Linked DNA regions of Struthio camelus. The protein of the gene in region 2 interacts with the protein of the main gene of each other region in a biochemical or structural test. Links are inferred from orthologs where the notes say so. Each region holds a gene or a part of one and is shown on either strand. Other genes may lie near its edges. The genes, in order: FGF14 and SCN8A.

Region 1 (15,323 bases), on a different chromosome or scaffold from region 2:
TTGCTACTATTCAATATAAGTGCTTTTAATAGGGTGTGCTACAGACATACAAAAAAAAGCATTCCATTTATGCATTAAAAGCCTTTCACTTAATGATTTTGGAGGTTTTGCCTGCAAAGGACCCCCTTCCAAGACAGCATGTTCCTGATTCGGATAACAGCTGTGTTTGTTATTCATATGCTATTCACCGTTGGTGCAGCATATCTTAAAAAAGTGTTACTTACATATATTTTGCTCACTGTGGATTCAGTCCATCATGGTGCCAAACACCATCAGTTTCCTTTGCAATTATAATTTTCAGCACTTCTGAGTGGCTCAGAACCTCTCAGGATCCACTTTGAGAACACAATAAATAATTTTTTAGTATCCAGTCTGAAGATGAATATACTGCTTTGAGCACTTCATCACATGGTCTCAGATAAAAATATTTCCTTCCCACTCACTTCATTTGTTCTGACAGCTGAAACACGCTCTGTGCAAGGCACTTTCTAAACTAAACATGGGCCCGGACCTGCAAAGTTTATTGCCAGGTACACTACTATACTACTTTATACAGCCCTTCTGTAACAGAGGCAAGTAACTTCCAGGTACATTAATTGTTCAAGCCTTGTGCTACACCACAATTTTTTTGTTGTTTTTGCATCACTGAGGTTTCAAAATTTTAAAATCCATCTACATTTTGTTACTCAGTAAGATGTTTAGTAAGCTAGTAAGTTAGCTTTGAAAAGCTATCACTCACTGAAATGCAAAAAGCAGATGAAACAATCAACAGCACACTTATGCAATGCTCAGACGTTGTCTTCAGTTTTTAACATGTAAGAAAACAAGGCATGGGGAAGAAACAGCTTATCCAAAAACATAAAGGGGATCTTAAACAGAATTAGGTATAGAAACAAATCACTGCTCCCAAAGTAACAAGATCATCTCTGACTGTAAGAACCCTGCTCCAGGAGGAGCCCATGCTCACGGGCACATTTGGCTGTAGATACTCAGCATAGTTTAATTTGCACACAGCCACTTTGTTTACCCAACCACATTCTGAACTTGCAGCATTTCACTCTACATGTTGAATAATTATACCCCCCCAAAAAAACAGAGTAATTATACAAAAACCTTAAAATAGCAACGCCACAAACTACAAGACACCATCACAGATTGGTGGAACATACTGCTTTTTATTTCTTTGAGTTTATGAAGGCCTTCTGAAAAACTGATTTCCAAACAGCTCCCCCTTTTCCAGATTATATTTTGACAGATACATTTACCAGACAGAAAATCTCCACAAAGGGTCAAGTTCTGAGCCTCTAACTCCTTACTTAGATTTGAAGTCAGTGGAAGCTTACCTCAAAATTGATACACTTAACAAGTAGGCAAGTAGAATAAATATCACTTTCAGATGAAAATTGCATAAATATAAATATTTAAACCAATGATATCTATAAATACACTTTGCATATTTTCCCTCAGCCTAAGATATCTTTTGTATATTTGAATTCATTTATAAATGGCCTGTCATTAGCTGACATTGAACTAGGTGTAAGCATTTTATCACAGTAGGGAGATTCATGAGCAGGCATAAATTTCACCCCTTAACAAGTATAATATGCAATTTAGTTTGATCAGGAATAATTAAATTTGTATGAATTCAGGAAATGTATTCCATTGAGGACAAAACTTCAGTAGGTGAGATACATGTAAATAGGCCATTTTACATTTGAGTGCTGTCAGAGAGAAATACGTGGTGCCTCTAATAACAGTGTAGGTATTTAAGCAGTTGGAGCTGCTTTTCAGACCTACGTGAAAGAAACTTCAAGGACCCAATCCTGCAGCTGTTACTTAGGCAAAACGTCTTTTGTCTTTTGGTGGGAGGTTTGTTTTCCAGGAGCAAGGAATGCAGCGGGTGACCCCAACTTACTTAGAATTCAAATAATGCTACACAATATGTATCTTACAACAGGATCAAAGCCTCTGCTTTAAACAGATCTATTCTCACATGGCTATGCTTAGAAACTTCTTTTGAATGATAAGTAACCATTAAAGAGCAGTCTGACTATTGTATGAGGAAGGAGTTTAAAAAGGGATTATACACCAAGCCCCGTTTAGACACAGTCCTCATTTCAGATGTCCTTTTTAAAAAGATTTTGTGCTTGAGATTGATATGGGATTGATACTAACAGAAGCTAAATTCCTCTGTCAGCAACATATTTATAGTAATGCCAATTTCCATCTACACTCCTGTCAACAGCCTTGACTAGGTTGGAGAGATGCCTCTCCTTGGAGGTAAATGGAGAGGGAAATGTGATACATCCTCTGACTGCTGGGCTGCCACCACGAGTGAAATGCGATAGCAATTCCAGCCACGGGGGCATCTAGCCCTCTGGCCAACTCACTCATTTCCCATGGGCAACCTAACAGCTGTCATTTGGTGAAAAATTTTAGTCACTTCCTGTACTTGCTTCAAAAAATACTTAAGAGTTACTCTCCTTCCCCATTTCTCCTCAAGGCTAAAATCCTCCCCCTTACTTAGCCCTTCCCTAACTGAACATACTCAGTTTAGACCCTCAGTGGGAAGCCACCAGGATGGTATCTTACCATTACAGGCCCTGGTTCAGGCCTTATGGGCTCAAGCAACTTTTAACTCTCTGTGAGACTCCTTTCTCTCACACTTTGTAAAATCCTTTCCACCTGTACGCCTCGCCAGAATGGCAGAGTTAAGTGGAAATGATTACATACAGCAAGCAAAGCCAAGGGAACCTAACACATTGTAAATATTTTCATGCTGGACAAGATGCTGAAGATACGGGGAGCATTGTTTCTTCTTGCATTATTAGACTCAGGAAAATTCAAAAAAATCCCATCAGTGCAAGCAAAACCACACTTACTGATTGTCAGAGTTTTTCCCCTTGTGAAGAAATATAACATAGGTAAATAATTTTAGCAATCAATGACAGCTCTTTCCAGGATCCCGGATTTGAAATAGAAAGGGTTTTCAGCCTCCTGCATGTCTATGATGGATAAACTAAAGCTTCCTGACGCAACACTGCCAGTGATTTGCACAACTCCCACTGGACTCCACATCCTTCCTTGCCCTGTTCGCCCCTTGCTCTGACCCTGCTTTGTGCCAGTAGCCCCAGCAGGGCCACCCGGAGGCCCCCGGGGATGGCAAGAGAGCCCCGGGAGGAGGTGAGCACAAATGAGAGGGTTGCAGCCAGCGGCAGGCAGGAAATGCAAAGCAAAGACTACCTGGAAACAAGCCACCCAGTCCCATTTCTGGAAAAAGACCAACTATTGAAAGGAACAAAAAGAAAAGTGCATCAGGCCAAGAATAGCTAGCTAAATTGAAAAAAACAGACACCGTTAGCTGCCTAACCTGCCTGATTCTCCGCACGGTGAGATGAGCAGCAGCCGCTCGTTCATGTGGCACCTTCTGAAAGCAAAAGACCCACCTGCTCTCCAGAAGTTTTGCGGAGAAACCAGGGCAGGGGCAGTGTGGGGTGCTGGACCCAGGCCCAGGGCTGCCCTCGCAAAAGCGGGGCGCAGACCGCTGCTGTGGCCCCGGGATGGCTGCGAGGGAGGGTGACACGACACCAGCCCGCTGCTGCGTTGCAGGAGGGGGAAATATGAGCAAGAAGGAAGGGCATCTTTTGCCCTCGAGCAAGAGCGCTGATTATCGGAATATCAACTAATCCAGTCAAGAAGATTAGTGCTTATGAGCCTTTCCAAATAGTTAATCATTGTTTAATGCTACTCTGGAAAGGGATTTTAGCATTAGGCATACGGTCTGGTCTTGTTTCCTCTCCCCTTCGCCGGAGTCACGTCGGATGAGAGCAGAGGGTGGGTAAGCTGTGCCCGGCACCCCTCACGCCCGAGGCACACAGACCGCTGCCTGCTCGCACCCTCGGTGGCCAGGGGCTCCCAGCCAGCGCCCCGCCAGCCCGGCTGCCGGCCCCGACGGGCTCAACCTCGCCCGGGCCCGGTGGTGGGAGGTGCTGGCCGCTCATCCCTTGCCGAGGGGGGCAAGCTCCCTGGGCAGGGGAAGAGGTGTGCTACGGGGCTTTGAGATCGCTGCCCCCCGCCCCCCAAGCAACCTCCCCCGAGCCACCCCTCCGAAATCGTGGGGTTTCGGCTTGCGGTGCTGCTCTGTGCTGGCAGCCCCCCCCTCCCCCCCGGGGGAAAGGGCACGGCGGCAGCGGTGTGGCCGGGGGGCGTGTGTCTGTGTGTGTTTGGGGGGGGGGGTTGTTACGCCTCTCCACCAGCGGGATGCGGACTGAAAGGTCTAGAAACCAGCCCTGGCCACCAGCCCCTGCTGGGGGGCACCGTCGCGGCGGCCGCTGAACACCCTGCCCGGGCGGGGGGCAGAGGGGCCACCCCCAGGCGGTGGGTGCGAGAAGCTGGCAGCTTGCCCTGTCCCTGCCTGGCCCACTCCGCCGCGGGGTGACACACGGTTTGCAAGCTGCCCCCTAAGCGGGGGTGGCCGCCTTGCTGCAGCGCAAAGGGAGTACTCAGCGGGAGGTTGAGCGCTGCGGCCGCTGCCCAGCCTCCAGCGGGGGCATTTCGGTCTCTTTGGTATGCCGAGAAGTGGCTGCTCTGTGCTGCAGCGGCAGCGATGGGGAGGAAAGGAGCGAGCCGAGCTGGCAAATGGCAGCGGGGGGGGGGGGGGGGGGGGGAACAAAAAAAATCCGCCGAGATGTCCACCTCCACTCTTTGCACCGGCCCTGAGCTGGGAAAAGCAGCAAGCCGGCTGCCCAGGGTGGGGGAAGAGGGGCGCGGGCGGCCAGAGCTGCTGCTTGTTGATGTTGGGGTGTCAGAGAGGCAACGAGAGCCTATGATCTACTACACTGCAGTGCCAGCGTCAGGAGCCTCCTGCTCGGGAGCTGCCACTGCAGGGCAGCCGGCACACACACACGCACACACACACACACACGCACCGAGCATCCCTCCCCACACAGCTCGGGCTCCGGCAGCACTCGCCTCCCCAAGCACCCAAGTGCTTGCGGACAACCTGCCGGCCCGCGGGAGGGGGGAGGAGGGAAGCGAGCACGGCCGGAGGAGGGGAGAGTGGGGGACGACGACCAAAACCCGGTGTGAGGGGGCGGGGATGGCCGGTATTTCCTTGAAAAGCTCCCGGCTCGCACGCCCGGAGAGCACCGCTTCCCCGGCTGGCACCTCGCTCGCCAGCCGCGGGCTTGGCCGCACCGGCGCCCAGAGCAAGAGGGAAGCAACAGCAGCGGCCTGACCCCCGGGGACCGGGCGGCCCAAAGCACCTGCATTTGCATTTCTTATGTAATGTACTGCAAGTTTCCCCCTTGGAGCCGGGTTGAACCGAAGCGCATGATTTCCACCACCCCCCCCCCCCCGCCATAAGGCAGACATGGAGACGTTCACACAGACACCAGTGTGTGCACAGAGGGGTCATCCCGCCAGGGAGAGGCGGGGGACATGCAGCCACCCAGGTGGTGCTGCTGGAGCTGCTTGGCAAAATGTAGTTTAGTTGCCGTCTAGGACACGCAGGAAGGTGTCCACCCCCTTTCCTCAACCCCCTCCACTCTCCCGACCTAGAGCCATGGGGGCGTGAGTGCTAATGGGGAGCCCCGGGCCGGGGGGTGTCGGGCTTGACTTCAGAAAGCCGAACGAAGTGTGTGTTTTGGGGAGGGGGGGCAAATATTTTGCAAGCTAATCAGAAAGTGTTGTGCAGGACCGGCGCCCCGGCACGGTCACCCACCGCAGGCAGGGCCGGCTCACGCGAGCACAGGAGAGCCGGGCTCCTCTTCCCAAAACTGACTGCCCCTCTGGGGGTGTGCATGGAGGGGTCGGATCAGGGACGGCAGAGGGTGGGCTGAGCACAGCCCTTCAAAAGGGCAGCGGTATAAAAGTTTCCTCCTTGGAAATAGCACATACAAACTAGGAGATACAGACTGGCCTGGGGTCGCCTTGAATTTTTGTTTTTTGTTTTTTTTTTTTCCCCCGTGGTGACAGTGGCCGAAGCTAATCCAGACTGCTCCTTGCTTATTCATACACGTATGCACATGCATGTTCGTGCTGGCCTCGTTATATTTCCCCCTTCTCCCCACAGCAGGATTGCAGATCTACCTCGGCGAGCAACAGACAGGGTAGCATAAAAGAAAAACAACGCAATGCAATGGATTGCTTACCAGTTTGGTTCTTGTTTTTCTTAAGACTCTTGCCACAAAGACACTGCAGCATATGCGATCCTTTGCTGAAAATGTTCCAAAGAAACCACATTGATTTGGGCGAAAAGCAATCCAGCAGCTTATACACCCTGAGAAAGAAGAGATCCTTGTGGTTGCATAATAATAAATTGAGACCAGTTCTCCTGAAGAGGGGCACCAGTTTTATCATAGAAAAAATGATTATATTCCGATCTTCTCCCAGTTTTTTTTCCTCACGTGGTATATTTCTTTGAGACTTTTTCAATGGATGCTTTTTTCAGCCAGGCTGAATGGTTATTCCCCCTAGATCAACATTGGATTAGAACCAAAAGCGTGGAGAGAGGGAAAAAAAATCCCTTTTTCAGCATGAAGCCAAACGAAAAGTAAGGTAGTGAAATCCCAGCCGAGGCCAAAACCTCATCAGAGACACCGGCAAAACACCCGAAGATCCCCAAAGAGAAAACCATAGCCTGGTACTGGACTGCTAGGAGGATGGGTGGATCTGCAGAACAAAAGCCACGGCAGGATCCATCCTACTGCACGACTGCCATTGTGCAGCCCCGAGGCGGCAGAGCGCACCACCAGCACCCCGCCGAAGCGCGGCTGAGGCGCAGAGACCGCTGCCGGCCGCGGGCGCGGACCCCGCCCGCAGCCCCCGCCGCTGCCCTGCAGTCCCCGCCGCCCCCCGCGACGCCGCCCGCCCTCGCCCGCGCGGGCCGCTCGCCTCCCCTCCCGGCCCCGGCTGCCGCTGCGCCCCGCACCGCGCCGCGCCGCGCAGGAGGCAGCCACCAACCCCCCCCTCCCCTCCCCTCCCCGCACCGCGCCGCGCCGCGCTGCGCCGCCCGCCGCAGCCTCGGCGCCCAGTCGCCGGCGGGCGCCGGGGGAGGAGGAGCCGGCGCTGCCCCGCCGGCCCGGCCCGCCGTCACGTACCCACGTGCGGCCCGGCGCGGAGCGGCGCGGAGCGAAGCGCAGGGTCCCCCTCTTGCCCTCCGCGCCGCCCCGGGCAGGCGGCGCCGCCGCACCCGCTCCCGGCCGCCCGCCACCCCGCCGCTGCCCCGCGGCCTGCTCGGAGCTGCCCTCCTTCCCCTCTCGGCGCCTCTCCTCCCCCGGACCCGCTCGTGTCCGGCCGGCTTGCTCGTACCGCGGGCTCGAAGGAGACGAGCGGCCCACAGGGCCGTTACAAATCAACCTGAACGTGTGTGCTCCCAGGCGCTGTCCCTACTGGCTTCCTACCTAAAAAGTGTTTCGGCATGATTTTGGTATGCCCCGGATTAGGGCAGACACTATCTAGTTTATGTTAGCGTGGTACATCACGTTCCGGGATTCAGCACAACAGGGCTTCCCACACACTGCAAATACCCAACAAGGCCATCACAGAACAGCCTGTGCTGCTCAGCTGGGTTGGGATGTCCAAAGGCAGACAGGGCAGCTCCTGAGCTCTGCCACACTCTGCTCTGCACAGTCCCACGCAGGCAGTGTGGCTCTCTCCCCTGCCCTCCCCGGCCGGCTACCGCACGGCCTCTGTGGCTGCACCGTCCAGGCTGAGTAGCACAGAGCCAGTCCTGGAGCCATGCGCTTGCACTGGTGTTTGGCAGTGGTGGCACAGCTGGAGGCTGATGCCCGCCTTCCTCCTTCCCCCTTGCGATGCTCTGCTGGACTGTGCAGATACTGGAAGGGTTTGGAAGTGATGGGACAGAGCATGAATAAATGAGGGAAAAGAAGATGAGGTAGCAGTCGGAAGGAGTAGCTGAAAAGGAGGTGGAAGCAGAAAACTGAGGTAATAGAAATGGGATAGGGAATAGCTTTCTTTCCTCTCCTGCTCTGCCTCCCGATGCCAAGGTCTTCTACATCCTCTTTTTATCTCTCTGGAGAAAGTTCCAGCCTTTCCTCATTGACTTTTCTCAGTAACAAGTTAAAAATTTGAAGTATCTCAACACTGTTGCCACCTATGACATTTCTATTCACATTTACATTCCTTCGGGCACAGTCAGAAGTTAGTGTTTTCTCCTGAAGCGACGGAAGCTGCCGCTGCTCCAAGAAGTGTAAGGCTAAAGCAGGAAAAATGCAGGGTGAGGGTGGCCTCTTCCTCCCTGGTGAGGATATCTCTCTGGTTACACCATTTGGGAAACCCTCGCAGTTAATATTTAGCCAGCACACTAACAGAAGTGCTGGAAACTGAAAAATTCACCATAGTTTTGTGTTGATTCCAATGAGATTTGATATTTGTACATGCAGATTAACAGCTTGGCTGCCAAATCTCTGTCTATGTGATATATGAACATCATTATCCTATTTTCTGGAGATAAAGAACGATGCACAGAAATGAAGGGCTATATTGTGAGAAGTGGTTTATGGAGTTTGCAGTATATTATGTGTATGGGGTAGGTGTCTACCTCTAGGCACCCAAGCTTGGAAAAAGAAAAACAAACAAAACTTGAGCAAGAAAATTTAAGAAAGGTTAGAAATGAGTCACAGAAGAAATCAATGTTGTGCTTGGTCCCTTTTCCTGTCCCCTTGGTTGTGCTGCCTGTTGAGCTACTAAACTGTCCTTCCTGGTGTCCAGAAGTTGCACAGGCTGCTCAGAAGAAGAGCTGGCTCAGCCACCTGCAGCCAGCTGGCTGGGAGTTCGCAGCAGCCCTAGTGCTATTCGTGGCTGCTCATATGTCACTGCTCCCTACAAACATAAAATTGATCTAAAGTCTTCCCAAAATATCAGAGATCTCCTTCTATCTTTCCTTGACCAAAACAGCCAGCATTATATAGCCAGAAACAATCTGTGTTCTGTACTAAACAAAAAGTCACTGACAAGCTTTCCACCCCAATAATTGGTTTATATACCTCCCTCAAAGCTAGCATGTAGCTCTCTACTTTTTAAATGAAAGTAAAACTTCTTAACCGCTCATCATCATTCAGAGGTCAGGGATTGTGGCTACAGAACAAAAGGGGATGATTCTGACGGTAGTATATGATTTAAGGTTTACTGGAGTTAGAACAGGAGCAGAAACTGCATATCTCTACTGAGAAGACTAACATTCACCTTATATACCTGGTAATATGTTTGGAGCCCTGCCTATTTGAGCCTGTCTGGTAACACGCTTTGAGCAGGTCCCCAAAACAAGGCAAGCCTGCAGGGGAATAGCTGAGCAAGGGCAAGAGTTTGTTCAGAATACCTCTTCATGCAAACTCAAAGTTATGGAAAGATTAGCCTTTAGAAATAAGAGTTGACCTAATGTGAATAAATGGAGCAAGTCTTTTCTTCTCTGGTGAAATATGTATAACAACATTAAAGAGCCTAAAATATATACTTAGACCTATTTAGCCTAAGTATAAATTATCCTTTTCAAGACTTTAATTAATCTGTAAATGGTCTATCATTAAGTGACACGCAACTAGGTGTAAGCATTTTGTCACAGTAGGAAGATTCATGAGCAAAAATAAATTTCATACTTTATTTTGTACAATGTGCAAATGATCAAATCAAAAAAAGACCTCAAAAAAAGAAGAAAACATCTCCTCAAGTGCTCCCATCTCTTTTTGGATCATGGAATAAGAAGAATTTACTTGAAAGGGGATAACACATGTTAAAGATGGGGAGACCTGTTACGAAGATGGGAAGAAAATGTCATCTATATAGTCCTTTCAGGTCAAGAGAAATGAAGAATCAACAGGTGATATTTGGTCAGCTCCTTCCGCAAGAATTTCAGGTTCCCATGTGGGGGAAAAAGAGAAAGCACCAGTGATATATTGTGGTTACTCAGTCACTACCAAGAAGACTTCTGATCGCAGGTTTCAGGAGAGAGTCCCCTTTCTTGTAGTGAATACAGCATATTACCAAGAGTTCCTGTCATCTGGGTCAGAGAAAAGCAGTCCCTACTTAGAGACGCCATTTGGGAGGCCAGGGTGATGGTGGTGGAGGAGACCCAAATACCAGCTAACCTATTTCATGGGGAGGTGGTGACAGAGGACTCCATTTTATGCAAGAAAAATTAACTAAAACCTTGTTCTGGAAGTCCTTTGAAAATAGAGAGACAGTTTTCCCCAGCTGTCAAAGCACACCTACCGTACAGCCAGCTTGCATATTAGTCAGTAAGACTGAGCACAGAATATCCCCCTCAGCCTGAAGTTTCTGTGTGCATTGGTTACAACAGTAAGTTAGACAAGATTAACTGTTTACATGTAACTGTGAACTCGTGTGTCTTCTAAAATATAGAGTGTGTAATTCCCATATAGTCTAGAAAGTGAAAGATCTGTAGCTATCATTTAATGATTAAGGGTGAGCTTTGCCTGACAGAATAAGACACCTACGTTTAGATGTCTACCTGTGACATTTATATTCCATGGAGATCTTGAAACTGCTGCTGAAACTTAGATATCTAAAGCCATTTGAGACTCCCTAGGATATCTTGCTGCATAAGGCATGGCAGCTATGATACTAAACCTGTCAGAGACCCAAGCCCTTCTGTAGCTGCAGGCGGAGGCCATGGAGTGTATCCTGGAGCATCTCAAACGAGAGATGCATGGGCGATTGAACAGTCTCTACATCCCTATTGATTACAATGGAGCCTAGATACTCAGCTCGCAGGTTGACAATTACGTGCAGATTCTTAAGTTTAGGTGTCTTATCCACAAGTTGGATCACTAACTGCGTGTTTACAGCTGTAGGCTATTGTCACTCTAAGAGGCAGCTAGGTCTGAAATCCTCCTCTTCCTCTTCTATGCTGGGAGTAGTGTCTGGAGCTGTAGATTAGGCTCAATTCTTCATCATATTTGTTGATTGATTTTTGGACTATTCCATGGAAGAAACATCAGAAAGAAATACAAGTGTATCAATAGCAATGGAGATAAAGGTATCTAGCCTTTTGGAAGTTTCACCTTGCTCCTCGTAGGAAATGGGAGAGAGAGGACTTGCCATTCTCCAGTGATTCAGCATACGGGCACACACCCAGAGAAGATGAAAGGGGTGAGTTGGAACATGGGATGATTTTACAGGTCAGAACGTGCTGATCCACTCATTCCAGTCCAGTGCCAGTTTCTGTAGGACTATAAGGATCACATTTCTCATCTGAAAAAGGAAGGGAGGGAATGAGAGGTAGGCATGAGTCCTGAATAGCTCTGAGAGTGAAGGTGGACTAGACAAGAAATAGTACCCTATAAACTCCCCACAAGCAGATGCTAGCCAAATCCCTAATTAGGTATATTCAAAAAGAGGTAGAATATCAGTAGAATATCAGGATTTCCCTGTTGTTCTGAGGAGATGAAAGAGCTGCAGGGCGTTCCTGCAGCAACTAACAGGAATAGTGCCCTTAACTAGTGGTGCACGGGTGCCCTGTACTGGTGCATGTATGGAGGTCCTGGGATTATTTTAGATTGCTAAAGCAAGGGGATGTTTTCATACACATAAGTAGAGACCCCCATAATCTGTGTCCTACTTACAGCCTGCTATTCCATAGCAGCATTGCATGTATGGGAAAGAAGGACCTAGTCAAACGGGAGGAAAAGGGCCCTTGAGCTGCCTCCTCAGTAGGGGCCTAAATAGGTCCTGCTGTTTGGGAGGAGCAATTGTGGGAGGAATCCAGCTGTCTCCATACAGCATAGTAAGCTTTCATGAGCGAATAACCGGGTGGTGGGAGGGATGTGAGAATGATGCGGACTGTGTTATAAAAACGTTCTAACACTCGGAAACCCTGTTCTGTTACTCTTTTTGGACTGGAAGCACAATGAAATGCTTTGCAGGGAGGTGCCAAGATCAGTTTACTGAACAATTTGTTATTATTACTGTAGTAATGCCAAAGAGCTTTAGTCGTGGATCAAGACCTCAGGATGCTGGCCTCTGCAAAACACAAAGACTGTTTCTGGACTAAGTCTTCCTTTGCAGGAAAGAATAAAAAAAAATTAATGTGGAAGAAACAGCCAAACTGAGACAGCTCAAATATTTTCCTGTGCTAGACAATATTGAACTCATTCAACAGTCTGTAGAAAGCATAATGAGAGATGTTCATAGAGGCACTGAAATGTTCCTGAGTGCCTTAACTGTGTGAATATCTCCCTTGTCACATATGAAGTCCAATGAACATAACCATGTATCAGTCCTTTGGGGTGTGTATAAAGTCCGCTTCTTCCAAGTGAGAGACTAAACACACGCTCCAGCAGAGCAGAGGGTCCAGCAAGTGGCAAGACATAGGATGCAGGAGGAATCAGTGTAGGCTCCCACATAGGTTTTGTCTTCAGGAAGCCTATCAAAATTCTCTGCATCAGATTTGTGACAGATGTGCCTGATCAGGTAGCTACAGCCTAATTTACTTCTACCTAACCAAATCAATCAGAAGGCAGCAACTGCCTTTAAGACACTTGGCAGGGGCTAGGGACTAGTGACAGGTGAGGGATTCACAGACTGAACTTTTGCACCTGCAGCCATCTCCCGGCTGTGCTGGTGGGAAGTGCCCAGGTACCGGCTCCTGCCGGGCTTCAGCACAAAGCCTGGCTCAGCTAACCGAGACTTCGGAGAGCCCTGGCCACTACGCAACATACAAATATCTGTAAAACAGTCTAGTTATGACATGGGTCTAGACAACATCCTTTATTAAATTAGTAGCCTAATACTGACGTGTTTTGCTCTATGGAAGCACAAGTCAGTCATTGCAAAGACCATAATTTGTAGTAAGCGTGAGATCATTGTGAAAAAAAAATGCAGCTATGGGTACTAGAGCAGAAGGCATTCATTTTTAAATAGACCTGGTTCCAGCACTGCTTGCAAATGCAGATTGTGCCTCTTTTCCTTACCTTCAATAATAGAAGTTTCATAAAGTGCAAGAGCACGTACTATGGGGCAAAGAGTAGCAATCTGAGAAATATAAAAAAAAATGAAGGCCATTTTTTTGAGAAGGAATGTCTCAAGGATTTAAGGGCAGTGGCACTGAAGGAGCAATTAGCTTTGATTCTAAGCAAATACTGCAGATTTTAGGACAGAGGAGAGATTTAAAAATAGCTTAGCCTAGGTTGTTTAGGTAATACAAAGGTATGGCATCTGTAGTTGCTTGATTTAATTTCAGATACCTGTAATTGCTATGAAGACTAACTAGTGAAACTTACAGTTCTTAAAGGGCAAAACATTTGTGTTAGAACTCTTGTGGCTAAATTAAAAATTGTGTCAGTAAAGGACAGCAAAATGCTTCAAGTGGTTTAAGAGGAACAAAATAATTCTGCTTCAGTGGAGCTTCTGAAAGGCTTTTATGTTTGTGTCTCAGCTTATATTTATTGCATTTGAAAGATGTGAAGAAATCAAATTATTAGAGAAAGAAGATAGTGTCGTGTTTTGTCACTGACCTGAGCAATAGGAGTAACAATGTATCTGCAAGATGCTTGCAGTAGATAACCGGCAGCTGCTGATGAAGGTATAAATAAAGCATGATATCTTATACTTCATGATACGATACAAGAAGGAAGGATAAAATATATGTTGATCTAAATGAGAATGTAATTGATACAGAAAGCAAAGACTCAGCTCCTGACAAGATAAAGAGAAGTACAGTGCTGACAAGCCTGAACACATGTTTGCAGACAGTTTATATTTGCCTTGGCGCCATTTAGCAGAGCACCCTAAGGCAGCAGCTGCACCAATTAAAGCCATGGGCACAAAAGGTGGTGCAGTGGGCTGTCAGGCTATTTAGGCGAACAGCAGTGAAATGCGTAAACAATGCAGCACTGTGAACATTAGGAGTGATCACCAAAGAACAGCAGAAAGGCATTATCCATCCAGGCAGAGCAGGGGAATTTGCAAACATGTTGCAGTACCTGCTGGACACAAATGACTCTTTTCTTTAATCTGCAGAATTTTCATGTCAACACATATATTCCCTGAAACAAGGATCATTATACACAGGAGGAAGTCAGAGGGCCTTGAAGGAATAGAATCCAAACCATTCAAAGCATGAACCGAGTACGTGTATTTTCTCTGGAATAAATTATTTTCCAAACTTGGCTGGATAGTTTATGCATCTAGCTCAGCCAGCTATATCAACCTGTCATAGAATAAACAGTACGCTTCAAATAGGTAACTAAGAAACAGCTGCAGGTAGAAGTCAACACGCACCTATTTGGTTTAGCCTGATATAGGAAACATCTCACTGCCTTGGCTGCAGCGACCATGAGATGGTGGAGTTCAGGATCCTACGAGGAGGAAGCAGGGCAATAAGCAGGATCGCAGCCCTGGACTTCAGGAGAGCTAACTTTGGCCTTTTCAGAGAACTACTTGGAGGAATCTCATGGGGTAGGGCCCTAGAAGGAAGAGGGGTCCAGGAGAGCTGATTAATATTCAAGCGTCACCTCCTGCAGGCTCAAGATCAGTGCATCCCTCTGAGTAAGAAGTCCAGCAAAGCAGGCAGGAGACCTGCATGGATGAGCAAGGAACTCCTGGCAAAACTCCAACAGCAGAAGGAAATACACAGAATGTGGACAAGGGGACAGGCCACTTGGGAGGAATATAGGGACGTTGTCAGAGTGTGCAGGGATGCGACAAGGAAGGCTAAGGCCCCTTTGGAATTAAATCTGGCAAGGGATGTCAAAGACAGCAAGAAGGGCTTCTTCCAATACATCAATAGCAAAAGGAAGACGAGGGAAAATGTGGGCCTGCTGCTGAATGGGGCGGGTGCCCTGGTAATGAAGGACACAGAGAAGGCAGAGATATTGACTTCCTTCTTTGCTTCAGTCTTTTCTGCTAAGGCCAGTCCTCAGGAATTCCAGACTCTGTGGACAAAAGAGAAAGTCTGGAGAAAGGAAGACTCTCCCTTGGTGGAGGAGGATCGAGTTAGAGATCATTTGTCCGAACTTGACATCCACAAATCCATGGACTCCAATGGGATGCACCCACAAGTGCTGATGGAACTGCTGGATGTTATTGCTAGGCCACTCTCCATCATCTTTGAAAGGTCCTGGAGATCAGGAGAGGTGCCTGAGGACTGGAAGAAAGCAGATGTCACTTCAGTCTTCCAAAAGGGCAAGAAGGAGGAGCCAGGAAATTACAGGCCTGTGAGGTTCACCTCCATCCCTGCAAAGGTGATGGAACAGCTCATCCTGGATGCCATCACTAAGCATGTGGAGGACAAGAAGGTGATCAGGAGTAGTCAGCATGCATTCACCAAAGGGAAATCATGCTTG
Region 2 (15,514 bases):
GGTTTTTTTTTTTATTGCTTTTTCCATCTGCACGAGTGCCTTCTTGCAGAGAAACTTGCTCTCATCTCTGATGCCTCTGTTACATTATTTTACCACATCTTCTGTAATCCAGACTATTTCGTTGAACATTAACGACACATTATTGATTCTAGTGTATTGTTTATTTCAATGACAGTTGTGAGCGCTCCAGGAGGAAGGCAATCAATAGTGAATGGAAACCATGTGACCACATGAACACTGTGTGCCCCGGGGAGTCACATACGGCCTCTGGTGCCGACCGCTTCTCGAGCCATTGAAAAATAGTGAGCATCAACTGATAGGTAAAGAAAAGCCCTATCGGTTCATTTTAATCAAAAAGCAAGCTAAACAAACCCACAAAAGAACGCAGACACAGCAACTAGAAGGGGGAAGAAGATGACAACGTGTTTTAGAATTTCGAGCTCTGCTCTTTTCACTCAGTGCTGATTTAGTCCCTAGTTCTCCCCCTCTAACCGAAAACTAAAACAAAACACCCATGCCGCATTTCTTGCGCCACGCAATCGCGCTCTCTCTCTGTCTCCTCGTCGCAAACCTAGCTCTCCCACCTCGGCTCAGCCAATGTTCACAGGACGCTCCTTCCGCTGAGCGATCCAGAATTACGAACCGGACCTCGAGCTGGGTATTTCCCTGCCCAGAGCCGGTTACCTAACCGGGCAGGGGGATCGCAACGGGGCCAGGCGCCGCCGGCCCGGCCCGGCCCGGCCCCGCCGGCCGCCGCTGTCCGTTTCAGCACCGCCGGGACGCGCCGCCTCTCGCCCGCCGCGCCCGGCCCCGACGTCCACCCGCGGCTCTGAAGCGGATGGCCGGACATCAGTAACGAGAAAACGGTACTGCTTTTCCCTTCCCCCCCCCCCCCCGAGGGTACCACTGGACTCTAGCAGGGGGCAATCAGGCTCCCGGAACAGCCTCGCTGCTCACGTTTGAGTCGTTGCCGGTGTGAAATGAGGACATACGGGTCACGGCTTCCCGTCGGGGCGGATTGCTGCAGTGTTACAAGGGCCAGGTGACATGTCGACACGCGACCGGCACCCCGAAAGACGACCCCACCTGTAAGACTCCTGAGCGGTCCCATAGCCAATCGCCTCCAACGCGGCGCACACGGAAAGGAAGCGGCGTCTAAACCTACCACCCCTGCAGCCCCGCTCCAGAAGCTGAGCTCAAGCCCCTTAGAGCCGCCCCTGCCGCACACGCTCCCCTCCCCGGCAGACTTTCGGACTTCCCCTCGGCTCAGCCGCAGCTCCGGCCGTGGAGTCTCCTCCGGCTTCCCCACCCCCACGTCAGCTGGGCACAATTTGCACCAGAAAGGAGGGGGGGGGGGAAGGGGGGAAGAAGACACCCAGATTTTTAATAGAAAAAACTTGTGAACAGGCAATTCCTTTTCCCTGGGGGAGGGGGGAAAAAAAAAAAAATTCTACCTTCCCCATTCCCCCAAATCCGTGCAGCGGGAGGAAGCGAGGGCACCAGCCTCGACGCCCACGTCTAGGTCAGTTAAAGCATCGAGGCCGCCCCACCGAGCTCCCCCGCGGAACTCTCTCCGCCAACTTCTCCCCCCGCGGCCGGCGGGGGAGCCTCGGGGGCGGCGGCCGGGCCGCTCCGCGGCAGGGACCGGGGTGGGAGGGATGCCGAGGGCTCCCGGCCTCTCCCGCCGCACGATGCGGACAGCGGCCCGGCGAGGAGGGGGAAGCGGGGGGGCCCCCCGGGAGAGGGGGGCAAGCGGCCCCTAGGGGAAGAGGGGTTTTGGGGGGGGTGGGGGGGAAGAGCCCGACCTCCGCGGCTCGGGAGCCGCCGGCGCTGGGAAACCGCTCTGCGGCAAAGCCCCCGCCCGCGGGGGAGGGGAGCCGGGGATGGGGGGGGGGGAGCGATTTATGGGGGAGGAGGGGGGAGGGAGGGAAAAAAAAAAAAAACAAAACCCAAAAAGCCGAGGGGGCGAAGGACGGCGCGGCCCCGCGCAGCCGTCGGGGCCCCCGGCCGGGCTGGACTTACTGCGGCGGCCGCGCTAGCGCGTCTCCCGCGGGGCGCTGCCGGACTGCGGCGCGGCGGGAGCTGCAGGAGGAACTGCGGTTGTCGCCATCTTGCTGCGCTGCCTCCGCCGCCTCCCCCGGCGCAGCGCGTCCTGCCCCTGCATCATTGATGACTCCGGGCCGCGCCGGCAGAGGGAGCGTGGCGGAACCCCCCCCCCCCCCTCACACACACACACCCCCCCGGGCTCCGGCCCCGGCTCCGCCGCCGCGCAGCGCCCCGCCCCGGCCCGGCCCCCCCGCGGGGCGCGCAGCGCTGCGCCGGCACCCAGCGAACCCCCCGGCGCCGCTTCCCTCCCGAGCGCAGCGGCAGCCGCGGTCCCCCCCGGCGAGGGGAGGGGGGGGGCGCCAAATAACCCCGACCCCCCCCCCGACCCCCCGCAGGGAGCCGAGCTGGGCGCCGGGGTCCCCGCCGACCGACGGGCGCCGGCGAGACCCCAACAGAAACAGCCGCTGCCGGACCCGAACTTCGTTTAGGCCGGGCCTCACCTCAGTCTCGCTTTCTGTCCGTGTAGACCAGGCTTCAGCAAGAAGTGCAAAAAAGCCCCGTAACTGACACACGAGGAGTGGGTCCGTCCTACGTGAAAGGTTTCAACAACTGTGCATAAAAGGAATAGTCTTTGTACCAGCCACACGCCACTGGCTTACATCATTAGATTGTGGCTACGACCGCGTTACTACCTGGTTCCGTTATTATTATTATTTTTTAAGATAATCTTCCTTTTTACTTTCACCTGGTAAGCTGACATCAGGTTCCTCAGGAAAGACCCTCCATGTTCTCGCTTTATCGATATTAAAAGCGACCTCTCTGATCAGCATCACGCGCTGGTGCAACTTTCCATCATGAGTCAAGCTTCAAGATTTCCATTGCATGAAGCAAAATATCAGCTCTTTGTTTTCCCTTTTGTTTTCTATGAAAAACGTTCATCAGTGTGATTTTGGATGTCTATGGGTGAGTTTGTACAAGGAGGGCATCCTCAATAATTCACAGCCAACAACCATACCGCTAACCTATGATCAAATTAGTAAGTGTTTTGGTGATTAACAGGTTTGAAAACGCTTGAGTTCTGAGATCACACCGTCTGCATGTAACTATATTCCTAGCTCAGCATTTTTGACCTTTTGACTAGTTTTAACAGAGGATTAGTAGTTTCAAAGATAACTAAGTTCCAGAAAGTTTTGTGAAAACACAAAATTGCATTGAGAAGGGAAATCTTTCAAGTACCACCTAAGATTGTAGTGAACAAGGGAAAGGCTGCAGCCTCCGTATCTACATTATCAGAGACCAGAAAATTAATGCATAGCAAATACAGGAGCATTTTATAAATGCTCCTGAAAAAACTCCAGTTAGAGTTTACTACGCAACATAAATCCACAGAAAATCAGGCATCGTTGGCTTCGATGCTCATGAAACCCCTGTAATCGATTTAACCCCTACGTTTGTCTCAAAGACTGCTGTTAGAAAGCAGCTGGCTATGGAATCACAAAGATCATCAGATAACAATGAGATTCTACAAAGGAAATAAAAACATCAATAAGACACTGATATCACGCATGCTAATGTTTTTTGCTAAGTAAATCCCGGCGCTGTCTTGCCTTATTCCAACTGCACACGGGTCACAAACTCTGGCAGTCTTGGGTGAAAACCTGCACTTGACTCTGCTTCCATGGGAGAACCTGAAGCTCCCACATGTTGCCAGCACAGATCTAGCATAAACTGCATAATTAGTACGTTCTGTTTCTTCAGCTCTGCAGCTCTTGGTTTCTAGCCCTCGGCCTTTTAGGATAGCATCAAGACAGAGTACTCTGTGGTGGCCCCAGATAAGAAACTGTATCAAGAGAAGGACGCCTTCTTGGCCATGGACGCTTGTATTTTGTCCTGAATCCTGAGCAGAAGGGAGGAGTCCTATGAGAAGTGACCAAGCAATGACGTATTTTAAAGAAGTCTTTTTGGGTTTCTCCTCAAAGATCCTTCCTCCACGCCTGCCAGTTTGCTCAGGGACCTGCGGAGCTGCTAAATGCCCAGCAGTGCACCAACGAGATTAAAGTCTACTCTTCTCAGCTACACTCCCATCATACAAGCAGATTACTGTTTTTTCCAGTGAAATAGTGAATAACAGAATCCTGATAATTGATCAAAGTTACCCTTCTTCATTGAAGACAGGGAACGCCTCCCCTCCCCCCTTTATACCTATAGCTTACACTGTTGGCATTAGAATTTTAGGATGAATTTTTATCATTACGTAATTCCTGTTTTCAATAGGACTGTGTCTGTGCTGCTGAGACAACAACCTGAAATGCTCTTATTAGGTTGCTGTTTTTTCTTTTTTAAATCCACCTTGCAGGAATGCCCTCTTCACGGGATTTTAAATCTTGTCCTCTGAGCAGAGCTTCAGGCATCGCATGCCGTGTGCTGAGCAAACAACCTCGCAGGGCACAGCACTGCGCTTGAGAACTCATTTATCTTGCTTTGGATACGACACAGGAACTAAATCTGCCCTCACTGTACAGCACTGACTTTTATGGGACTGCTCTAATGTAACACAAGGGCAGATGCAACCTGAAAAAATTAAGATATTTCAAACCAGAACTAAGCAACAGCAGTTATATACACATTAAATAAGCTGCTACCGAAATCCAAAGATTTGGAGAAAGTTTTGGTCCAAACTGGACTTTACATAGCATCTCCCAAATATAGAGTTTTAAAGTGTTCAAAAAACAAGATTAAGTCATACAACTTAAGAAACAAAAAATATCTTCTCTACATAGATAACGGTGCCAACACTTGGGACGGTACACTGCTGCACCCATCCCACTGTAGGGCAAAGCTGCCAGTACTGGGATAAGACCATCAACACGCAGACGGCCGTGCAGGAGCACACCCTGGCTTCCAGCGAGGGCACCCGCGGGTCTAGTGGATACGGTGGGCACATCATTCCCAATGGGTGCCAGCAGCACACCGAAAATACATCCTTCAAGGACGTTCCAGGGCCCCAGGGACGTTACTGCAGTCTGTATAAGACATCTCTGAGCAAGTTGCTTAAAGAAATAAGTAGGTCAATGCTCATATGTTGAGCAGTCATAACAAAAAAAAAAAAAAAAAAAAAGAAGGTTCTTATTGACCTAAATGATCCCCCCACAGCCCACTAGAGACTACTGCAGACGAGAGGCGTGAAGTTCAGCATAACGCCCGAGCGGAATTATACTTTCTGCAGACTGCACCCATCCACCCTCTTGCTGCCGTTATGGCTGGCCTTTGCCGACAACAGTGCAGTGCTCTGTTCAGCTATCAGGCCTCCCAACCCCATCGTTGCTCTCCTTCCGACTCCAGGCTGCCCTGCTGGAGGTATAAAGAATACCTGCTGGTTTCACTGGGGTAACAATATCATCCCTGCACTGAATGTTTGCTGCGGCATAAATCCTACCTTTCCTCTGGCTGGTTTTCTCTGTTTCTTTGACAGGAAAAACTATCATCCAGTCAGGAGATACGGTACTTGAGATAGAAGCACTTTCAGACTAATTTGACATAAGAGAAGGCAGGGTTGGGGCACACGGAGTTCTCAGAACCTCGGTATCTTCACAACAGCAGCTGTGCTATTAAATATCTAGTTCACTGTCCCAAGCCATGTTGAAAGGGAGCCCTCAGAAAATGAGTGCACTCAAGAGTTTACGAATATTTCCAAAATAATATGGCCTTGAAAAGCAGCTAAATGTAATAGCAGCTATAATATAATAAATATATAAGCAGATAACATAACGCCAGGTAATAATTTGGCTTGTAATCTGAATGGTAAAGCAAATAAAAACCATTAAACCCTTCCTTGGGTTAAAAAAAACACCACACACACAGAGGACTTGGGTGACAGAACAAAAGATAACTCTGCAATTATTGATCTGAACAATAACGAGCTGACACCGTGCTGTCTCTTTAAGGAGCACACAGCTGCTCAGTTCTAACAGTTTCATGCTTGACAAGGATACTCCCTTTTCCTTATTCCATCATTATAGCCCTCACTCCTCTCCCCTTCCCCGTTTATGTAGCGACCTCCGAATTGCCTGGTCAGTTCATAAGCTTTGCGGGCAGCGACGTGTCATACGTGTCTGCAACGCGCGCAGGGCGCCTCTGCCTCTGTAATAACAACCGTGCAACTGTATAGCTTTGCTTTTAACAAACACCATGCAAGCAAACCAAAGCTAAACAAAGCTCAGTAGCCGGAAGGACTATGTCGTTTAAGCAGGTAGCTACATGTGGATAGCTAAAGAGATCGCTACAGTCTTTTAGACTTTGACTGTCTCCTGAGTGCAATTCTTCCGTAACACAAGCGTACTGCGTTCTTAACCAAACTCGGTATCAACTACAAGACGAGCTAACGTCTAAAACTCCCAAGTTACTGGGAGAGGCGACTACTACTGAAGTGCGCCGCAAACCCTACCCCAATGGCTCAGGAGATGGTCAGAGGTATGATGATACAGCAGGCAACAAAACCCATAGGCCAAATCCACGTGAGGGTTAAAACAGTTGCTTCTCCCAGACACCAGGCTCAAACCAGACAGGAGCTGAGCATCCAGATTCCACCCAGTTCAACCTTTAAGTATATCCTCAACTCACAGGCAATAAATTGAAAACAACTTGACGTCTGCAGCAACTATAGCCTTACACATCTGTTACGTGAAGCAAGAATGCTCTGCACGCCTGGATTTCCCTTCCCTTTTCAGATGTTTCCAGCACTTTTGTGCAACTGAAGCGGTGACGCACTGTCACTTTAAGATGGATTTTGGAGCGTGGCCAGCCAGGAAAGACGGACACATCCGGTTCAGAGGTTAACGCTGGGCTGGCGAGACTGCACCGGCTGGAAGGAGCTGTCGGTGCAGGCTGCTGGGCGCTGCTTTCACACCGCGCCGTGCTCGGGGGCTCCGCACCAATGGTCCTCATCTCCTGTCTCCAGAGATGCATTCAGCTCATCATCTTGCCTGTATACATACTTGCCTACATGGGTTTATGGGACTCCTTCTATAAGAAAGTTTTTCCACATATCATGGCCAAGCTTGCACCAATCTACAACCATAAGGTCTACAAGCAGAAACAAGAGCTTTTCAGCAACTTAAGAAAATTTGCCGGCCCTTCAGGCCAGCTCAGGTTGTTGGAAATTGGCACAGGCACTGGCACCAATTTCCAGTTCTATCCACCAGGCTGCCGGCTTACGTGCACTGATCCTAATCCCAATTTCAGACAGTTCCTCCTCAAGAACCTCTCGGAGAACCCACACCTCCAGCTTGAACATTCGGTGGTTGCTTCTGGGGAGAATCTGCATCAAATACCGGATGGCACCATGGATGTGGTGGTGTGCACCTTAGTGTTGTGCTCTGTAACCAACGTCAACAAAGTCCTGAAAGAAGTTTTGCGAGTGCTCAGGCTGGTAAGCTGGGGCAGCGCGAGGAGGGGGGGGAAGTGATCCTGCTCTCACTTCTGGTTTCCTTTCCCCTGCCAAATTCTCTTTCTTTCTCTCTTGCAATCTTGCATTTTGGAGAAGGCCTGCCAATTTCTTCACACTCTCCTGTGCTGTAAATACCTGTAGACCCTTCTGCGATCACAAGGGAGAGCATCCATCCATCCTGTATCCTGTAACATTCAGATGCAACAGAATCAAAGTGGTACTTCTGGTCTGCACAGCGTACCACTCGCAAGTAATTTCACCTGCGGATGGAAGAACTAGTTCATGCTGCTTTACCGCTCTCTCCTTAGCACCTGACTAGCGCACTGCCAAGCACGCAGAAAGCCTGGAGTACCCGCAAGGCCGTGCTGATTGCTGGGGCAATCGGGAGACAGCTACTCAGAGCACCCTGGCTCCTGCGCTTGCAGCTGGGCAGCCTGCAAAAACTCCAAGACCAAAACTCTGTTTCAAGAGAAAAAAAGAAAAAAAAAACCCCAAAAAACCCAGGAGGTCCCAGGGGCTGGGAGGAGCAGGAGTAGAGCAGCACAGAATAACGATTGCTGCAATAAAATGGTGGAAGTAAAGGGCACGAAAGGAGAGAAGCAGGAAGGGATGTGAATTCTAACTCAGATAAAAGATAAACAAGAATTTCAGTTTATAGTTGTCCTACGCATTCACTAGCAAGTGCTCTCACCTTTAGACCTTGTTCTCCTGACCAGGTATTTTCATTATAATCTAAGGTGACACTTGTAAAACGCCACATTCGTACACATTTACATACCTCTCTCCTACTACAAAATACTTTTTTTTCCCCCCCACCAGGTATCTCAGAATAACTGGGGAAGGGTTTAAACTAAACTTAAGGCATCTCATATCCACATAGGTTGGGTTAAATCTATGTAACCGGTCAGAACCTTCCTGTGTCAATAAGACTTCATCCCTGGATGGGGCTAAAAGCCTACTTCCTTCTTCAAGGTAACCTTGCACACGCTTACAAAGCGATACTAGGGAAGAGGGAATAAGATCACACCCAATACGCTCCACTAAGAAGGGAAGGGAAACACCAGCTCAGACTCTTTGCCTTCTGTACGTGGATCCATTAAACAGCCTCTACTGTTAGGAGAAGGCTTGCTCACAATACTATAAACAACAGATAAAAGGCAAATCTCAACACTGAAAGGCATTGAATCAGATGCGGTAGAACACTGAGGGCGGCTGTAAGGCTGACAAAGAACAAACTATCACATGCTGTATATACTAGTTGTAGCCTCTCTCTCCCCTCCGCGGCATTTGATTTCTGCTTGCTAACAGCTATCTCATATGCTTTATAAACATTAAGAAATAAACTCTTTTAATTGCTGGTATGTAGGGCAAGCAACTTGTTTATTCACATTTTACAGATGAGAAGAACTGAAACACAGGGAAGTTAAGTGGCTTGTCCAAGGTCACCCAAGGCAGATGGGGCAGAGCTCAATACCCTGTGACAGCAATTCCCAACCACCAGACTATACTGCCTCTTGCAGAATTATAAGCTGCACCTATCAGCAAATAGGTAAAACCCACTAGCTTCTACCCAGATTGAATGGGAGGTCGTTACAGAGGCTCCGCTACTCAAAACAAACATGAATCCATCGCGCGTAATCTCTAGGAAAGGAGGCCACTATCCAGAGAGGTGGAAAAAGGCAGCTTGTTGGCTAAGAAGTAAATAATAAAATTCTACATACAGAGGTGAAACCTCCTAAGTCCTTTTTCTATTTTTTTTATGGTATTGTTTTATAGGGTGGAGCCTTTTACTTTGTGGAGCACGTGGCTGCGGATCGTTCCAGTTGGACCTACTTTTGGCAAAAGGTCTGTGACCCAGTCTGGAAGTGTCTTGGAGATGGGTGTTCCTTGAGCAGGGAGACACAGAAGGACCTGGAGAAAACTAACTTCTCAGAACTGAACTTGAGGCGCATACGTGTCTCACCACACTGGAATCCTACTAGTCCTCATATCATTGGATATGCAGTAAAATGAATGACCGTGAGCGCTGCAGGGCACACAACATCCCTTCAGTAGCTCCTTTCACACTTTCTATAGAGTATTTTTCACTGAATAGTAGCCTTACAGTCAACCCATACGCAGCAACTAAGTAATCAGAATAAAAACATGGAAATCTTCCTGAGCATCCATAGCTCGTTCAAACTGAGAATCACATTCTTCCATCTGTTAGACAGGTTTTCTGGATGGAGCTCTCAAGCAGAGCCGTGGCACACGGACCAAGCAAATTGGAAACAAAAACAGAGAACGCATTTCAGTGCGATACAAAATAAAGGAAGAGTCACCATCTTAGAGCTGAGAAAGAGGAGAGGGAAGACAGGGAACAGAAGATCTATGCAAACAAGTAGAGAGAGCTTACATCTTTCTAATAGCAGAGACTATTACTCAGCCTTTAAGATTTCAGATTCAGGACACATACATAATAGATATAGCATCAGTACAAGCATTTTTCTTTCAGTCTTCCCATTACAAAACACCACTAGGAGCCGGCGTTCATTCTCCCATGCCAGTCGAGTCCTCCCTTACTGGACTGTTTATTTCAGGAAAGTGCCCATTAGAGCACCAGTTCACTATACATAGCTTCCACTGGCCATTAGAGGCTAACGCTGTCAGCCTAGATTTAACTTACAACCTACAAAGCAAAAAACTGAACTTCTCCTTACGCTGGGAGAAAGCTGGCATTGGTTAAATCAGGCGACAGAAACCTCATCTCAGCTGTAACATGGTCTCTACTAAGCCATGCTCTTACAGCCCTTTTGTCGTGCTCTGCTAAGAAGCTAAACCTATGCTTAAACTTAATGTTCTACTCTCCCTTCAGTCCAGATTACACCTTTAAGATGTCAAGTTTTTGTTGTTGTTGTTGTTGTTGTTTTTTAAAGCCACACGTTTCATTAGGAATATTTTCCAGTTAAACTTCCCCAGGACACCAGGAGAAGGTGCTGCTATCTTGACCACTGTTTAACCTTCCTTTTGATTTCTCACAGTAAAGCATCTAAGAATTAAAATCTGGTGCAAATGATATTTAATAAAAGAATGCACTTAATGCCTCTGTTTTGTGCTCCACAAACAGACAACTGGTCTACACAGAAAGTACATCTGAAGTAATTCCCACTGTTTAGATTTGTTTCTCTGATGTAGTCAGCACGTGGTGGCGGTATGAAGGTATGACAAGAGAGTTTAGTAATAAAGCAGTCTAATAATGATGCTGCCATATGCTGGGTATTTTATTTGCTTTATTACCACTAGAGGGAGGAGGTAACTCCGCAGACAACAAGGCTACCTATCGCTCAACAGAAAAATAAACTCCTCCAGGGCAATTCGCAATACAACTGCTTGAGTTCGGGATCTGAAGTTGAGCGGTGCAAACGGTCCCCTTGTCCCTTTACCAGGCTCCCTCTAGGCAGAGCAATTAATTGCCAGTGGCTAATCTACACTGCTATTACTAAAGCCTGTGGAAAAAAAACACTGGTGATAGCAAAGTTAAAAAAGTTTAAAAGAAAGCATTTAGCATAAAATGGACTGTACATTGTCAACTCAAGCTTATAAAGTGAAAACCAAGCTACCATAGACAGTGATTACTGAATTAATAAATGGTTTTATCTCTGGGCCACGAGTCCCACCAAAGATCTGAAAGGTAGCCAAGAAAAGCGAGTTCATTCACCGCAAAGGAGTCCACATCCACAAATCAAAATATGTTAGGTGTCCATGAAGTGCAAAGACTGAAAGCTGCTGCTGCAGAGAAAGCACACAGCGAGCAGCTGACTAGCTCATCTAGCTACTTTAGATACCTAAAACAAGGGCATAAATAACCCTTAAACGTGTGTGTTTTAACCAAAATGTTAATCAAACAAAATTCATTATCTACAGCAAATCCAGAGTTTAGATTAACTTCCTACAGGCACTCACGGAAGACAAGCTATGGCTTCTTTAAGAGATGTAAACTGTAATCTGAAACCGCTGAACTCCAGGTTAGGGTGACTGATGACATGTTGCCAATAGTCAAATACAAAGATGTACTTTTCAGTTTATCTAGGTTACTTAACTGCCTGGCAGCTCCTTTTCTGGCAGCAACTTTTTTGCCTGAGCTGGGACATTACGGTAACTGCTTGGTAAGCAGTGCTGTTTTTCCCTTCCTTGCCTGTGACTGGACTTTAAAATCAGCTTTAGAGAAAAGTCCACCCTATCAGGCCAAAGAGTTGCACTTCAAGAGGAACACAGCAAGCACACAAATCCAGCTCTAAGTTTCAAGTGCTCTAATACGTAGAGGAACGAAGCACAGTACAGACTCAGTCTGCGCAGCACAGATTCTTTGCCCCCACGCTGGAAATGACGGAGGCCAGCATTCTCCTCTTCCGTGCCTGCTTCATGCTGCTCGCCATGCCCATCTATCTGCTATCGTTCCTGGGTATATGGGAGCCTTTCTGTAAGAAGATATTTTTTCCTTTCATCCTCGAGAAGATTGCTGCAGTTTACAACAGGAAAACAAAGAGGCAAAAACAGGAACTATTTCGTAATCTGCCCGAATTTACAAGCCCCTCAGGAGAGCTGAAGCTGCTGGAGATCGGGACCGGCTGTGGTAGTAACTTCCAGTTCTACCCACCAGGCTGCAAAGTGACGTGCACCGATATAGACCTTCACTTCCAGAAAGGCCTTTCTCAAAGCATGAGCCAGAACCAGCACCTGCACTACGAGCGCTTCTTAGTAGCTGCAGGAGAAGACCTGAGCCAGGTGCCCAGCGGTTCTGTGGACGCAGTCGTTTGCACTTTAGTCCTATGCTCTGTGCGGGACATAAACAGCACCTTGAAAGAAGTACTGCGAGTGCTCAGACCGGTGAGTATTTGAAGTTTTGTGTTATTACTTTGATCATCCATTCCAGAGGCACTGCACCAGAGCAACAAGTTGCCTTTGAGCTTACAAGTCAGACCCCATTGATTTTCATAGTAGAAATCAGATTTACAACCACTCTGCAATGCTAAATGGTGCAAAGCAGTAGCAGCACACTGTTCAGCCTGTCTTAGCTCAGCCTTAAGAGTAACGTGTTAAGTAAACAGAACCGCCACTAATTCTGTAAGTAATTACAGCACATCGCTGTACAGAACCGGCTCCTTTGTTGTTGTCTCTGCCCCCTCACACGCCAGATTTTGTTTTGGGGAGAAGAGGGGAAGTTCTGATCAAGGCTGAAAGTCGATGTTTTAAATAAACTGCTTTAGTCTCTTAGAAGAGGGTCTGATCTACCTGTATGACTAAAGCAATCTAATTAAATGCCTTCATTCCCTGTAGTGTCCTATTCAAACTAAGGATTAAAAAAAGCTATTTTTTGCAATAGAATTTCAGCCTTTACAATGGTATTTTCAATACAGTCCTTTGGGTTGTTAAAAACCCAGTGAGTTCTAGTAGGGTTTATGCACTTCACCTAGTTTCCTTTGAAATATGACACGCTAGCAACTGTAATTTAAACAAAAAGACAAAGAACAAACCATTGCTCTAAGAACAACGGGATCAAATAAGTACACCTTTCATCCTTTCAGAATATGCATTCTGAATCTCTGCAAGTTTCCTGCTCGTATTAATTCTAATCGACATTACTGAAGTAAAAAGCAGGCAGGAAAGGGGTAGAAAGAGCCTGTCAGAGTGAGCAAACCGAGTTTCCCGTGCATGGAATCGTGTTTGAGAAAAGGAGGGTCAGAGAGGGAAGGGTCTGCCGGGTGCTCGCTCCTTCTATGGTATTCTAAGATGACTTTGCTTCCCCAGGGCGGCGCTTTCTATTTCTTAGAACACGTGGCTGCTGATCATTCCAGCTGGAACTATTTTTGGCAGCAGATCTTATATCCCACTTGGAAGCTCGTGTTTGCTGGGTGTTGCCTAACAAGAGAGATATGGAAAAACCTAGAACAGGCCAACTTCTCCGAACTGAAGTTACAACACATCAGCGTTCCTCTACCCTGGATGCCTAATAAGTCTCATATCATTGGATATGCCGTGAAGTAATTCATATCGCGCTGTAACTTTCTCCCCTGTCCTCAGAGAAATTCCTTGACATAGTCAAAGCAGCAAAATGGCATATGCTAATCCAAATAACCGAACCCAGGTTAACACGATTAAGCTTCAGTTATCCTAAGTTTCGGCTGTAAATGGCAAATGAGGAAGAGGTTCAGCTTTCTATAAATCTTGCAATGGAAATAAATATGTTGATGACATGCTCTAGAGGTAAAGCATCAGAAACTGGTATCCTGAAGTTCCAGTTAGCATAAAAATAAAGCAGATCTGCTTGGGCACGTATAAAACCCTTCCATTGACTCCAGTGTGCAAGCCGCGCCTCGCAAACACTAGAAAACCGTCCCAGGTACGGGGCTGTTTGAGAAGCCGCCAGAAGCATACACACACACTCAAACACCTCCTCGCCTTATCTAAGCTCAACTTAAGTTTCAAAACAAAGCTGACCTGCTGGAGCGGCAAGGAGAGCGCACAAACATTTTGGTAGAGAGGCAGGGAAAAAAAAAAAAAGGCGTTAACTCCTTATGCAGGGGAGCGTCTGCTTGACCGGCAGGCGATTCCTCCAGGTGCTCCCAGGCCGATTTTCGCTGCCGGAGAGCGGGCAGAGCAGGGCACGGCGCAGCCATAGCGCTGTTTGACTCGGCAGCACGCTCTCTGTCCTGCTGGCTCAGCCTGTTCCCCTTTTCCTGAGGGGAAAAAGCGTTACGGAACGGGCAGGTACAACCTCTGCTTAGCCGCAGGTATTTGAGAACGGTTTTTGGGGAACAGGTATTTGGCCTCCTCCCAGGACGCCCATCCCAAGGCCAGCGGCTGTTTGGCTGCTGTTAACAGGCTGTAGTGCTGTTAATCGCTGGGGTGTTGGAGGACCGACGTCACCCGCGTGCCAAGCCGGTGCTCGATATGAGATGCTCAGTTAGTAAAGCACTGCCACGGAGCACTGGAGCGGAGGTGGGAGGGTCGCAGGGCCAGCAGCAGGGCCACCATCGTGCTGCCCCCCCCCAACTACCGGCTGTTGGTGGCCAAGGCGCGTGACACGCCCCGCCACACGGGCGCGGCCGCCATTTTGTGCTCGTCGACGCAGGATGCGGCCGAGGCGCGTCACGCGCCCCGCCACACGGACGCGGCCGCCATTTTGTGCTCGTCGACGGAGGATGCGGCCGAGGCGCGTCACGCGCCCCGCCACACGGGCGCGGCCGCCATTTTGTGCTCGTCGACGCAGGATGCGGCCGAGGCGCGTCACGCGCCCCGCCACACGGGCGCGGCCGCCATTTTGTGCCGTCGACGGAGGATGCGGCCGAGGCTCGCCGTCGCCTCGCTGCTGCTGCTGCCGCCGCTCCTCGTGGGCTCCGCGCCCCGCGCCCCGGCCCCGGCCCCGTGGATGTCCGCTCAAGGTACCGCCGCTGTCCCTGGGCGCTGCGCGGCAAAGCAGCGGGCGTCGAAACAGCTGGAGCGGGCAGGGTCAAGCGCTCGGGAGAACTACAATTCCCGTGAGCCCCCGCGCGGCGGCGGCGGGTCCCGCCCGGCCGAGCGACATGGCGGCGGCGGGAGGGTGGAGGGAGCCGGGCGGCTGGGCCCGTTGGCCGCACAGCTTCGCGCCGCGGCTACCCACAAACAGGCGGGGAAACGTTTCTGCCTATGCATAAATGAGATCAATACCAAAAAAGCAGCAGGGGCGGGAACCCAGTGGAGTCCACGTACCGTGGCTGGAAGCTGCTGACCCGAACGCCTACACGGCCGTGTACAATAAACACGCGTGCAGCTACGTAACAGCGCACACCCCACCAGACAGAAAAAATAAATATCTTATGGCATAAGAAACAATCCAAGGGACCTCCAGAATCAGAGCTCCAGCTGCGAACATAAAAAAAAAAAAGCCAAATACCACAATAGATGCCCCCCCCCCAAAAAAAAAAAAAAAGCCAGAACCCGCTGCCAGCCCGCTAAAGCTGCGTTTCAGGGTTTGAATGACCTAAGCGCCTCTGCTCTCTTTTG

What was found.
Region 1: the proteins of SCN8A (region 2) and FGF14 form a complex in vitro, tested with the Homo sapiens proteins (2 studies listed by BioGRID). The link is inferred for Struthio camelus from reciprocal best matches to the Homo sapiens genes SCN8A and FGF14.

The regions. Positions count from the first base shown.
Region 1 is NC_090942.1:162,780,015-162,795,337, reverse strand, and holds the start of FGF14 (fibroblast growth factor 14), read right to left. Parts: upstream 6,776-15,323; 5' UTR 6,361-6,775; coding exon 6,153-6,360; intron 1-6,152. UniProt on the Homo sapiens protein: Probably involved in nervous system development and function.
Region 2 is NC_090969.1:1,275,249-1,290,762, forward strand, and holds the start of SCN8A (sodium channel protein type 8 subunit alpha), read right to left. Parts: upstream 6,795-15,514; 5' UTR 6,716-6,794; intron 2,656-6,715; 5' UTR 2,547-2,655; intron 2,265-2,546; exon of another isoform or gene 2,023-2,264; intron 1-2,022. Other genes in the region: thiol S-methyltransferase TMT1A, read left to right, coding at 6,980-7,474, 9,269-9,505; thiol S-methyltransferase TMT1A, read left to right, coding at 11,855-12,358, 13,280-13,516; TMPRSS12 (transmembrane protease serine 12), read left to right, coding at 14,811-14,913. UniProt on the Homo sapiens protein: Pore-forming subunit of a voltage-gated sodium channel complex assuming opened or closed conformations in response to the voltage difference across membranes and through which sodium ions selectively pass along their electrochemical gradient.